Linked DNA regions of Tribolium castaneum. The protein of the gene in region 1 purifies or fractionates together with the protein of each later gene. This does not show direct contact. Links are inferred from orthologs where the notes say so. Each region holds a gene or a part of one and is shown on either strand. Other genes may lie near its edges.

Region 1 (4,035 bases):
ACGATTTAGAACGAAACCAAATTACCTAAAAGCAGCGTTTCAAACGCATTCCATTCTTGCTCGAGATTCATGTCTTGGGCCCCTGGTGCGTTCCGAGTGGCGTACCATCTGGTCAAAACCACCGAAATGGTGTCACGGTTTAGACACTGCTTTAACGCCATTACACAATTTTCAATTAGTGGGTGTGCAGTCAAGGGGGGCAGAGTGATTCTGTAGTAAGTGCCATCAGAGTATCGTAAAGTGATGCGGTTTTCGATCGGGTCACGTAAACCGTTCAGGACAGCTTTGGGCAAATTGCTTTCGTGCTGGAAGTTCAGCTGGAGGATGTTAGACACGTTTGTTGTCTCGGGTAACACCGGTGATAGCAAATGGTCGTCAAACTTGGGGTCTAGTTGTTTGCAATGGGGCAAAAGACTGCTCCGTCTGGAATGGCAAAGTTGAGCGGTTTGGAGGTTTTAATTGGGAAATACCTCGGGAAAGGTGAGTTAAACTGAGCCAGGTTGCGACGGACGTAGGGCGAGGGGGTGTGCTGGACGAGGGTGCCCCCTATGTGCAGCTTCCCCACTAGGGTAAGGCCAGAGTAGAGGCTGACGTTGCCGTTGTGTTCCAGGACGGCCAACATGTGGCACATCTTAATTACAATTAGGAAAAAATTCAATGTGTGATACTCACAGGAATAGGCACTGCGTCTTTGACACTCAAACTGTTAACCATTCCAAAGCGAATGTTACTCGGGTCTGTAAAGTCGATTTGGACTAAACACAACTGGCACTTCACTGGTAAAATGTAGCAAAGGTACCACTGGTGTGTCAAGTCGTCGCACAAAAATACTTTAGATGTGGCACTCGACATGTTATCATCTCTACAATAATCACTTGATCATTGAATATTTTTTAAATAAAAAAAACTTTACTGAGTCAAATTCGGATCAGTCCATAGGTGGTCCAAACAAATAAGAGGGTTTGTGTGCAGGTAAGACATCAGTTTAGAACAGTCGAAAAACGAACAGTTGTTTGGTGCACAATAACTGGGCCCACTTGGAATAGAAGTGTTCAAACGCGAAGCTCTCTGCAACCACGGACTTCCGATAGAGGAAGTGGCAGGTGACTGGCATCGACTATAAAGACCCAAATTACACTTTTAGTATAATTCAGTAACAAAACCGATTAACTTGCTATAATTAGTTCGTATTATAAAATTTGGAAAAATGGGTCAACCTGATTGTGGCCATTGAGCTGTGCGATTTCGAGTGGTGCATTTGGTTATAAAAACTTGCTACGCTTCCTGGCCGGCTATTGATAGGGCTGGGGACGCTTAAATAATTCGAGTTTTTTCCGCAATCCCACATTGAAAGACGACTTTTCAACTGTAATTATTAATTATCGCAAGTGTGCGACTTTTAATCTCTTTTACCCTGTTAGATAAACTGGTGGCTGAAGGGAAAGTGCTGTTCATCCTGTTTGCAAACTCTACCTTTTCGTTGATTGTTACTTTTCTAATAACGTAAACACTGTGTTGCCTGGTTTGAGTATCGTAAATCATACAAATGCTTGGATTTTCGCTGGTGTAAACCAATTTAAAACTATTATTATTCAGGACTTGGATATGTGTGCCAACATTTATTGCAACAGGACAGACCTCATCAAAGGGAAAAGCTAAGGAATAGAGCGAAGCTCTGTTTTCAAAATACGTTGTAGAATTGTGGCCTTTAAAGATTGCGTTAATAAATGAAAAAAAATGCAAAATGCAAACCTTCGTTTTCCCGTTCGAGAAAAATTCCGTACTTCGTATTCCACATTTTGCTAATTTGGAACGGGATAGCAGTGACGAAATCTTCACCTTTTTGGGTGAAAACGTGAATATTATGGGCATTTATGATGCAAATTGCAGGAACCGGCACGCCTTTAGTTTCCTCTTCTTTGTTAGAAAAAGGAAAAGCGTCGGTTTCATATCTGGGGTGCTCGCAGTGGAAAGTGCACCAAGCGGCGTGTTTTATAGGGAGAAGGGAAGTGTAAGCACAAATTGTTTTTCTACCGTTGTCTAAATTGTCACAATTGTTTAGCCCTCGGGACCACACTGCCGTGTGTCCCTTGACATAGAGTTCATCCTCCATAAAACTGACGTGACTTTTGGCAAAAGAACCCTCATAGCTTGGCCCTTGGGAATCAAAAAAAAAATAAAAATGCAAAAAATTGGTCCCACGTACCCCCATGAGCCAAGCTTTCATGCTTGAGTGAAAATTTCGAAAAACTCTCAGATATTCTCTTGCTAGTCTTTTGTGAATGATCGCAGCTTTGATAGCTGTAAGACTTGTCATTTTTACAGTCCTGATTCACACTAACTTTAGTACAAGAACTGTCTTTTGTCCCGTAGCACCAACTTGCCGCAGACTCAAACAAGGGGGTTTTCCGCAAAATCCACCATTCACTGTCTTTTTTCTCTTTTATTGAAACCTTTTCAAATTTATCAAGGAGTAGGTCCTCAGTTTGGCCTAAATTTTTTTGCGGGGGCACCCCATTGGGGCCTGGGTGTTTCAATGTTTGCTGCCGTCCACTTGGAACAAACTCCTGAAAAGTTTACGCAAAATATTGACTGAGTGAGAGCACCCACGAACCTGTGGATCTGAGGCAGCAATCATTGTTTCTACTTTCTCATCCAGATTTGCTAAATTTCAATAATGAATCAGAATGGTAACCAACATAAATCACGACTATTTTTCATTAAAAAACGCTTTTTTTAAACCGAATCGGCTCCTCTAACCTTCACAAACTTAACAGACAGCGCTGGCAATCTAAATGAAAGAAACCTAAATTTACTAGAATTTACAGACTTTACTTGAGTATTTAATTGTTAAATAGAGTATTTGCTTAATTTTTTATTAATTTGTGTTAATTTATATTCGTTCACGAAAAGGTTTGTAATTTAATTCAATTCATTCAATAGAATTGCTCATTTTTATACAAAAAAATTACATTTGTAAAAACAAAATCCCCAACGAGGAGACTAGTAAATTGGCGCCAAATGGTCGTAATATTTTTATTGGGTTGTTGTTTTGTGTAAAAAACGCCTTGTTTGTGTCTGCTACTATTCGTATTTCACAATTTAAGCCGCTAAACGTAGAATGAAGTGTTCGATACCAGAAATATCATGGCACAACCGGGAGCCCGTCTTGAGTGTTCATATTCAACCCGTTTTGGAGAAATTTTATAGGTTAGCAACTGGTGGTGCCGATTGTCATGTTTTGGTAAGCTTCGGTTTAAAAAAATTAAGTCTTGTGACGCTGTGCTTCAGATTTGGCAATTAACAATAAACGAAAACGGTAGTGTTAAAATCGAGGCTTTGTCTGATCTAACACGACACCAAAGAGCTGTGAATTCAGTTCGGTGGTCACCAGGGGGGCAGCAGCTCGCGACAGCTGATGACGACGCAAATATCATTATTTGGCAACTTAAAACCGATAATATCCCTCTACTGGAAGGAGAAACGAACGATAAAGAGACATGGATAGTGCATAAAGTAATGCGGGGGCACAAGGAAGACATTTACGACTTGTGTTGGTCACCCGATGGCTCAAAACTTCTATCGGGGTCTATAGACAACACTGCCATTTTGTGGGATTTTCAGAAAGGCAAAAATGAACAGATTTTAACCGACCACAAGGGATTTGTCCAAGTAAATTATTGCTAAATAAAAATATAGTGTTTGTAATTTTTCGAAATTTGAAGGGCGTGTCGTGGGATCCCAGAGGTCAGTTTTTGGCCACAATCAGTACCGACCGCATCTGCCGCATTTTTGAAAATACCGGTAAACAGGTGAAGGCTAGAATGCACAAGGGTCTATTACCGGTGCCGGAAGATCATTATCTTCACAACAAAGAAGTGAAATATTTTCATGATGACACGTTCAAGTCATTTTTCAGACGCTTAGATTTTTCACCTGATGGTTCTCTCCTGGCTGTTCCTTCAGGTCGCATTGAAATCGAGGATTGTAAAAAAATTCTCAACTGTACCTTGCTTTTTGCAGTAGATAACTGGG
Region 2 (8,727 bases), on another chromosome or scaffold:
AATTACCCTCAATATCCCCCGAATCAAAATTTTTACCCTCAATCTCAAAATACCAGTTTTCATAATCAAGGTAAGGACCAGTTTGGGGGGTTTACCGGACTTTATTACCAAGACGGAGCAATAAATATAACACTTACTATGAAATTCACTTCCAGCGTTTCGTTGGGTTGACAGTTCCATCGCCTATGGGTCAGTGCCACCGACGGCCCTCCAAGGGGGCATGGATGGGGATGGGCATCCCATTTACGTTGGTAGAGCCTACCATGAAGGTGACTTGATCCCTGCCAAAGTGATTCCCGGCAAAAACGCCGCCTATGTCTCTCACAACGGACAGGAACACCTCGTTGAAAATTTCCAAGTAATATACTGGGTGTTTCTATTTGATATTTATCCCCTTGTAACTTTTTTTTAAAGTAAAACAAGCATTTTTATCCGCAAAAGTGACAAATATTGTGACTAAATGTCACAGGCAACAGTTCTATTTTTCGGCCATTATATGCATATGCATATTCTTGAGATTTTTTTTTCGAACATATGGACTTTTTTTGGACTTTTAACAACTCCAGAGGGATGTAAAGGCATAGAAAAGTCCATAAAACTATGCTAGAATGGGTTTGTAAAAAAAATATTTTTTTCACGTTTTTGGAAGAAAGTGTATTATTATTACTCAGAAAATTTTAGCAAAAATTCTCATTCACGGCTAAACTATTCCAGAAAGTGGAACTATTTTGTTCCATACCTATACAAAATGATCCGGGGAATCGATTGGCATCGAGAAAATTGCCAAATTCCCAATAGTTTTTTAGTTATGAATTTTTTAAAATTTTACTAATTTTTGCATTTATCTCCAATTTGCTCGAAAACTATTAGTCGGAGAACAATAATTTTTTTTGAAAAAAATAGATAATATAAAGAGCTTTCCAACGATAATACACTTCGTAGGGTTATCTCTAAAAGTTCCGGAGCTATTGCTTGACAAAAGTTCCGGGTACCGAAAATCGACAAAATTTGCGACGAAAATTGAAAAAATCAAACATCAAAAAATCGAACATATGGACTTTTTGTGGACTTTTAACAACTTTTGTGGGTTGTTAAGACATGTAAAAGTCCATAAAAATTTACTGGAGTGAGTTTAAAAAAAATTTTTTTTCACCACTTTGAAGGTAATTTTAGCAAAAAAATTGAAAATTTTAGATCTCGTGAAAAGTTGGTATAATACAGAAAATGAGCCGCTGAATTCAATGGAACAAACCGCATTGCTCCTCGACTTTTAGTTTTCGAGTTATGAATTTTTTAATAAATAACCCGGCGCATCCACCAATTTTAAAATTAAAATATATATTTTTTTAAATTTCTCGAGTAAGCTAGTGTTGTGAAAAGGCTAGTATTCTAAGCAATTTAAGCAGCAGAATTCACTGCAACAAACGGTTTTGCTCTACGACTTTTAGTTTTCGAGTTATAAATTTTTTGGTTGAATAAAATTTTCCACTATAAGAAACAACTATCTTAATTTTTAGCAAAAAATTTTAAAACTTTAGATCTCGTTAAACGTTGGTATAATTCAGAAAATGAGCCGCTGAGTTCATTGGAACAAACCGTTTTGCTCTACGACATTTAGTTTTTGAGCTATGAATTTTTTTTGTTGAATATGGGAAAATAAAGCCCTTTTATATTTTGTTTTATAATCTCGTTATTTAATTTTTTGTATCTGTACAAAAACTAAAAGAAAACAATTTTTCTTCCACCTTGCAAGGTTAATTAATAAGGAAAACGAATTTATTTATTTTTTAAAATTTTCAGGTTTTATGTAAACAATACTTCGAGTGGGTACAATCGCACGCCGGCCACTTGCCACCAGGGGCGGTCCAAGGGGGGCACACCAGCGAAGGGGAGCCCCTTTACATAGGCCGCGCCTACCACGAAGGCTCCCAAACAATTGGCAAAGTACTTAACTCACCCTTATAAATTTTAACCCTTGATCATTTATTTTCCAGATACACCCCAGCCATGGTGTCTGCTACATAGCATACGGCGGCGAAGAAATCGCTTGTCCCGAATACGAAACTTTAGTCCTTAGAATGTAAATAAAGTCATTCTTGTACCCCACTATTGTTCATCTCCGCATCTTCCTCCTCCTCTTCCTCCCCCTCCATTTCATACAAGCGCACCTTCCTCCGATTTTCCGCCAATACGATACCGACACGTCGACTCCCCGACACTGCAAACTCCGCCCCCACCATCCCCTCCACACACTTAAACAGCTTCGGAACCAAACACGAACCGTTCAAACTAACCACGTTAACCGCACCACTAAAAACACGATCTGTCTCCCCCCCATCCACAAACTTGTCCAAAACGCCACCTATCGGTATCTGACTTAAAACTGTAGCTTTAGAAACGGTGTTTTCTTGCAATAAAACCGACAATACTGCACTCGAATATAGTTTAATATCGATCACGTGATAATTATCCTCGGAATTGTCACGGGGGAAGTACAGACGCGCACACTTTATGAAACAATTGCCATCGTCTAGATACACCTGCAGGCCTAGAACGGTCTCAGGCGGCTGCAAGTAACAAAAAAGAATCGATTCTTTGTTTAAGTTGACTTGGGACGTCCGTAACGAATCGCCGCAAAATTGGAAACAATTGAAGTCATTCAAATGACTGAACTGCCTACTAATTTGCTCTCTAGGTGTCGCGAAAATCGCATCGACGCTTTGCTTCAAATGCTTGTACTGTTGTATCAGCGACATCTCTTTGAAGTGCCTCAAAATGGAACTATTTTTTTCGATGCATTGGTTCTGGGCCAAAAAATCAGTCCATTCGTTCCCGGACATGTCTGGTTGGATCGTCAAATTGCCATCGCTTAAATATTGCCCCAACCGCTCCATAATGAACCCCTTTTGTTTGTTATTCCGACTGATGTGGTCAAAGTTTTGCAAAAATTCGGTGATGTAAGCCAGGTCTTGCTGAGTCATTTTGGGGATTTCGTTCGGTATTGGCTCATCCAGAACGTGCATTATTGCCGTGTAGAGCCAGCGGAAGAAGGCCTTGTAATTGATGATGGAGTGATTGATGATTTGCTGCATTTCGCTGCCTTTGATCAAGAAGGCGCCGTTCGAGGAAATGGCGCCGGTAATGGCGGCCGCGTCCAAACCCAAAACCTACAATCACCCAATCACCATTTTTTACACTAATAACTTCTTTTCAATTGAAACGCGTCCTAAACGTGGGAGCGAAAAGCCGAAAAAGGCGTTTTAAAGCCGTCAGGGGTTTCCCCGAATATTTTGGACTTTTTTCACGTAGTATTTGCTCGATTTTAAACTAAATATTTATTTATTTTGCCAGATAGTATTTTGTTCGTTTAAAAAATCAGACACTATATTCGTTTCAAAGCAAACCTGATTGATATTTGTTTGTTTCACTCAATGTAGCTTGTTGCGTAAAATTTCGTCTAAAATACGCCTGTTTTTTAACTATTTCTCAGACTTTGAAATTATCGAACTAAATGTGATTTTTCCATTTTTGTGCATTTTTGATGGTTTTTCTTGCCAAGTTCACACAAAATTAAATTTTAATTTTTTTGTTGAGTTGGCAGCCACCACACACTTGTACCAACCTTATAGCGGTGTTCCAGTCTTGCCATCCCCCTCATTTCGGCCAAGTGATAGGTAACATTCTGCCCAAACTTCATCACATACTTCAGCATCAACTTCTGAATGTTGGAATAACTCATCTCAATCGTCTGCCCGAACTTCTCCAACCCTTTCTTCGTTAAATCGTGTATGAGAAAGGTCTTCATCTCATCCGAGCAAATTCCAAACGTCAGCAAATCCAAAAAATCAGCCGTGACGCCCCCTTCTGGCACCTTGCTCGCATATTTCGACAACTTGTTGTCCATCTCCAGCAAAATGCTCTCCCAGGACTCGGTGATGGTGGTAATAGTGTTGGAGAGATAGGTCACCAGTGAGGTCAATTTTATGTGTTTGAGGGCCAAAGCGAACAGTTCGTTTGTGTGCGTTTTGAAAATTTCCGAATCGAAACAAATCAATTTAACGTTGTTTTCGTTGTCTCGCACTGTGAAAAACATGCGGTTCAGGTCCTCGTTCAAATGCATGTTCTGGATGGAGCAAAGACAGTTGAGAGTTTGCTTCAAGTCAAGGGAAGCGCACGGGAAACAACCGAAAACTCGCACGTGCACGGTGCCCTCACTTGTCCCAATCAGGAGCAAATTAAAGTCGGTTTGCTCTTGCAAAATGTTGGTTTTCTGACCATCGTCGTTGTTGGGGGAATCGAACTGTTGTAGCACCGGTTCGGGCAAAAAATTACCCGATAAGTCCTACAACTGGGAAATTAAACGAGCACTAACATTCGGGTTTTTTTACAATGTGTTTCATGTACTGATTCTGTTTACTGTCTTCGTCAACTGAAGGCAGTTTCCCTTTAACAGTCCGGTCTTGCAACCAATTGAGACATGAAACTTCGCCCTTGATGTCAATAGTGTGCAACACCGACTTATTCTCGACCTTCACAAGCAGTATTTGGCCTGAAATTGCACAAAACAATGGATTTAAATTATTTCCAATACTTTTTTTACAATATTTTACCAGAACTGTACGCAATTGCTATGATTTTGCCGTCAGGCCTCCAGGCAATACTTGTGACCTTTAACCCATCCTTGGGGGCACTGAGACTCCACGCTTTGGTCCAAGTGAGTCGATGAAGAGCCACCTCTCCTACAAAGACACCCAAAAATGCCGGTTACTGCAAATGGGGGTTACCTTTGATATTGGCAAGAGCGACAAGGTCCATACGGTCGCTCCACACCATTTGAACAATCTCACTGGCCACATTGCGCTCTTCGAGCTGTTTAATCGCCTGAACTGTGCTCATTTTCCAACAATTAGTAACAAAAAACAATTTTCAAATTGTAAGGTTACGTTTAATTCTGTCATGGGTACCAACTGTGCGTCTGGACCCGATTTGCTTTATTTAGCCAAATGTGCACAAACAGGCCTAGTCAGGCGTTACGATTCACTTTAGGGTTGTAACCACAATAGATAAACCAACATTTTTGTTATTGTTGGCTTTAAAATGCATAATTTTGTACTTTTTTAAAAGGTAGAGGGTTGGTAACGCTGACCGTTTGTTGAAATTGGTGTCCCAGGTGTCTTGATTACTTCGTTCCAAGTTGGAATTAAACAATCACCATGGATAATTTAGAAGCAAATATCATGGACAAGTCAATGCGTTCGGTCTTTGGTACAAATTATTTAAATTTTAAGTGATAATTATAACCCCATTGCTTCCAGTGGGCAACATCCCCTACGAAGCCACCGAAGAGAAGCTCAAAGACATTTTCGGCGAAGTAGGCCAGGTCCTGTCATTCAAGTACGTTGCCCTGCCCCCTGAAGCCCCCTAACGCCTGAATTTTAGGTTGGTTTTCGACCGCGAGACAGGCAAGCCCAAAGGCTACGGCTTCTGCGAGTACCGCGACCAGGAGACGGCGCTCAGCGCCATGCGCAACCTCAACGGGTACGAGATCGGGGGGCGCAACCTCCGGGTCGACAACGCCTGTACCGAGAAATCGCGCATGGAGATGCAAAACTTGCTGAACCAGCCCCCGGTCGAGAACCCCTACGGCGAGCCGATTCAGGCCGAGAAGGCCCCCGAGGCCATCAGCAAAGCCGTGGCCTCGTTGCCCCCCGAGCAGATGTTCGAGTTGATGAAGCAGATGAAGCTCTGCATTCAGAACAACCCCACTGAGGCCAGGCAGATGCTGCTGCAGAACCCCCAGTTGGCGTACGCTCTGCTGCAGGCGCAGGTGGTTATGAGGATTATTGACCCGCATACGGCGGCTGTGAGTTGGGGGTTTGGGGGCGTATTTATATTTTATTGGGGGGTTTTAGACAATGTTGCATCCGCAAAATCCCGTTCCTTCGTCTTTGACGCCCAAGGAAAAGACTAATCCAGGCCCCATTCCGATTAACAGTAATTATGTCTCGAATCCCACGCCTGTGCAGCCCCCAAGACAGGACTTTCAGCCGGTGCCAGCCCCCGCGATTCATAATAATTCCAATCCGGTCTTCACAGGTGATTTTTTTTATCACAATTGATTATAAATAATAATAATGTTTGCGTTATTGCAGGTCAAGACGTTGATCTAAGATCACTGGACCCCCGAGGGGCTGATCCTCGCCTCAGCCGCCTGGGCGACCAGGACATGCGCACTTTGCCCGGACAACTCCCCAACCCCCTTCCGCCGCCACTTGTCGAAAAGTAAGTAAAATAATTCAACCTTGAGCCCTTTTACTCAAATTTAAACAGTTTCACTAAGCAGGATCAGAAATTGGAAAGGTAAATAACCATTTACAATTGATTAGAAATACAATTTACTGATACTTTTTCTTAGCTTTAATAGGGACCCACGTGGAGGTCCGGCCAACTTCCCATCTGATCCGAGACAACAACAGCGAGCTGACCCAAGACAGAAAAATATGCGTATGTGTGAAGTACGTAATTGAATTGGTTGTTGAAAGTCTGATTTTAGCCCCTCAGCAAAACGCGATGCCTCCGCAGCCGGTCAGAGCCCCGCAGGGGCCCCCCAGTACCCCCCAAGTTCGCCAAGCTGCCAATGTTGCTTCAAGTATAGGTACAGCTGGGGCCTCAGACCAGGAAAAGGCGGCCCTGATTATGCAAGTCCTGCAATTGTCAGATGAGCAGATTGCAATGCTGCCACCTGAACAGCGTAATAGTATTCTAGTTTTGAAGGAACAAATCGCCAAAAGTGCACACCGTTGATTAATTAAGTCATTTCCCCAAATCAGTTTAATTTTTACAGTTTACATGATAATTAAAAAATCTTTAAAATTATTAACATAAACACTATTTACAGTATTGTGTATATATCATTTAAAAATCAACAACAAAAACGCACCCTCTAGAAAGTACAAAATAAATGAGCGATTCCTTCGGTTGTTTACGATTAAATTGTAAACAAGAGGTGGATTTATTCGTTTGCAACTTTCAGTTACAAATCTGGTTGTAATGGTTTTGTTAAAAAATTAGCTAGTTCGGCACGTTGGTACTTCTTGAATGGACGATCCGTCTAAAGCGCTTCCTTCGATCTGGTAACCCATGCTCGCCAACATTGATTCGAATGGGTCCATTGACATGCGATGCTGATTTGTTTCGACTACAGTGGAGATGCATTTGACGATTCGGTTGTTCACTTTGCCGTCCTAAATAAACGACAACGGAAACTCCAACATTAATAAAATTAATAGAAAAAAGTTACTATATTTCGGAGAAAAATTTCCGATCAAGTGACTAAGTTATCCGTTTTCGAAAAATCATACTAGCCTTTTTTTTGGAACCTTTATCGAATTAAAAAAAAGCCGTAATGTAGAGTGGCCAACTTAATTTCAAAGTGAGACCAGCAATTGTGCTTACCTCAGGCCGAGGCGACCATATTTTAACGGCCGTATCAATCCCGCTGGACGCTATAACACAGGCACTAGGGTGTGGTTGAATGCAATTAACTATCGAGTTATCTCCAAAGAGAGCCCTAACCACATTCATACTCTTCTTATCCCAGATAAAAATGATCCCTTCGTCCGATCCTGCACAAATATAATTATCACAATCACCTGAAAGCCGCCGTGAAAAAACCAACACTCTACAACCACCACAAACAACCTAAAAAATTCGCCTCCTTGATATCAGTCGTGGTATTACAATGCCCTATGTAAATCTTCTCAAAATCGAACGAATCCAAACGTAACTTTTTCTCATCATCTTCCACCTTCTTCACTCCCGTCTCCTCAAACTTGACGCTGTTTTTGAGCGCTTGCAACTCCTCAACGAGGAATTTCACCTGCGAGGAGGTTTCACATTCGGGGTAAAGTTTTGTAAAGTGTTTCAACCAAGCGTTGGCTTCGTCTTCCCACTTCATGGCAATTAGGCATTTGATTAATCCAATGTAAGCCTGTTTATGGTCCGGCCAATGCTGAATCACGTGTAAATAATCACGTGCTGCCGCATACAAATCGCCCATCCTAACAAGAAAAAAAAAATTAACAAGCCTTTTTTTTTGGCTATTTGTCTCAATACCACTTGCGTTGGTACGCCTGTAGCGCCCGCCTCATGTAAAAGCAGGCACAGTCCGTGTTTTTCTCAAACAAGTCGGCGCTGACCCCGTTAAGTTCAGCCAACAGTACGTTCTAAAAAAAATTGCATTTTCCTAGTAGTGACTGGGGGGATAATTACCGGTTGGCAACAATTCCGGTAGGGTTGATGGGGCCGTTTAGGTAAGTTTTGGGGGATTTTGAGTTCGTTAATGTGTCGGCTATTATTTACATCAAATAAATAAATCTGTTCACCCCCGATATTTACCAACATTTCTGAACCGGCGGAATTGAACGCGATATAAGTGACTGATAGTTTGATGCTCATAATGCCGGCATTTTCGCGTGCCAGGTGCCCGGGGGCGTAGTATTGCACACAGTCGCTGTTTTGGGGCTGCGGGGACGTCCTCTTCGACGGATTAAACGACAAATTCGCCTGAAAACCCAAAAAATGCAAGTTTTTCCCCAACATTTTACCTATTTTACCATTGATACTTTGATCATCCTCCTGTCATACAAGCGCACGAAGCAGTCGTTGGCGCCTATTGCGATATAGTGCGATTTTGTGGGATTCACAGCAATGCATTTGATTTCCGAT

Evidence for each region. Proteins that work in one complex are often made in the same cells at the same time.
Region 2: the proteins of shtd (region 1) and APC4 purify together in Homo sapiens (co-purification; 13 studies listed by BioGRID and IntAct, with this or other methods). This does not show direct contact. The link is inferred for Tribolium castaneum from reciprocal best matches to the Homo sapiens genes ANAPC1 and ANAPC4.

The regions. Positions count from the first base shown.
Region 1 is NC_087397.1:4,714,695-4,718,729, forward strand, and holds the start of shtd (anaphase-promoting complex subunit 1), read right to left. Parts: upstream 2,801-4,035; 5' UTR 2,639-2,800; coding exon 2,615-2,638; intron 2,568-2,614; coding exon 2,207-2,567; intron 2,158-2,206; coding exon 1,753-2,157; intron 1,707-1,752; coding exon 1,414-1,706; intron 1,367-1,413; coding exon 1,218-1,366; intron 1,118-1,217; coding exon 914-1,117; intron 863-913; coding exon 673-862; intron 632-672; coding exon 471-631; intron 424-470; coding exon 26-423; intron 1-25. Other genes in the region: Caf1-105 (chromatin assembly factor 1 subunit B), read left to right, coding at 3,122-3,244, 3,292-3,672, 3,726-4,035. UniProt on the Homo sapiens protein: Component of the anaphase promoting complex/cyclosome (APC/C), a cell cycle-regulated E3 ubiquitin ligase that controls progression through mitosis and the G1 phase of the cell cycle.
Region 2 is NC_087400.1:319,545-328,271, reverse strand, and holds APC4 (anaphase-promoting complex subunit 4), read right to left. Parts: upstream 5,003-8,727; 5' UTR 4,897-5,002; coding exon 4,785-4,896; intron 4,740-4,784; coding exon 4,611-4,739; intron 4,550-4,610; coding exon 4,389-4,549; intron 4,343-4,388; coding exon 3,623-4,342; intron 3,168-3,622; coding exon 2,091-3,167; 3' UTR 2,085-2,090; coding exon of another isoform or gene 1,995-2,084; 3' UTR 1,945-1,994; coding exon of another isoform or gene 1,801-1,944; 3' UTR 1,734-1,800; downstream 1-1,733. Other genes in the region: uncharacterized protein LOC659212, read left to right, coding at 1-70, 156-358, 1,801-1,944, 1,995-2,084; CstF64 (cleavage stimulation factor subunit 2 tau variant), read left to right, coding at 5,214-5,265, 5,316-5,394, 5,440-5,863, 5,913-6,096, 6,153-6,282, 6,331-6,360, 6,416-6,504, 6,554-6,804; WD and tetratricopeptide repeats protein 1, read right to left, coding at 7,068-7,244, 7,456-7,652, 7,702-8,060, 8,116-8,225, 8,272-8,565, 8,616-8,727. UniProt on the Homo sapiens protein: Component of the anaphase promoting complex/cyclosome (APC/C), a cell cycle-regulated E3 ubiquitin ligase that controls progression through mitosis and the G1 phase of the cell cycle.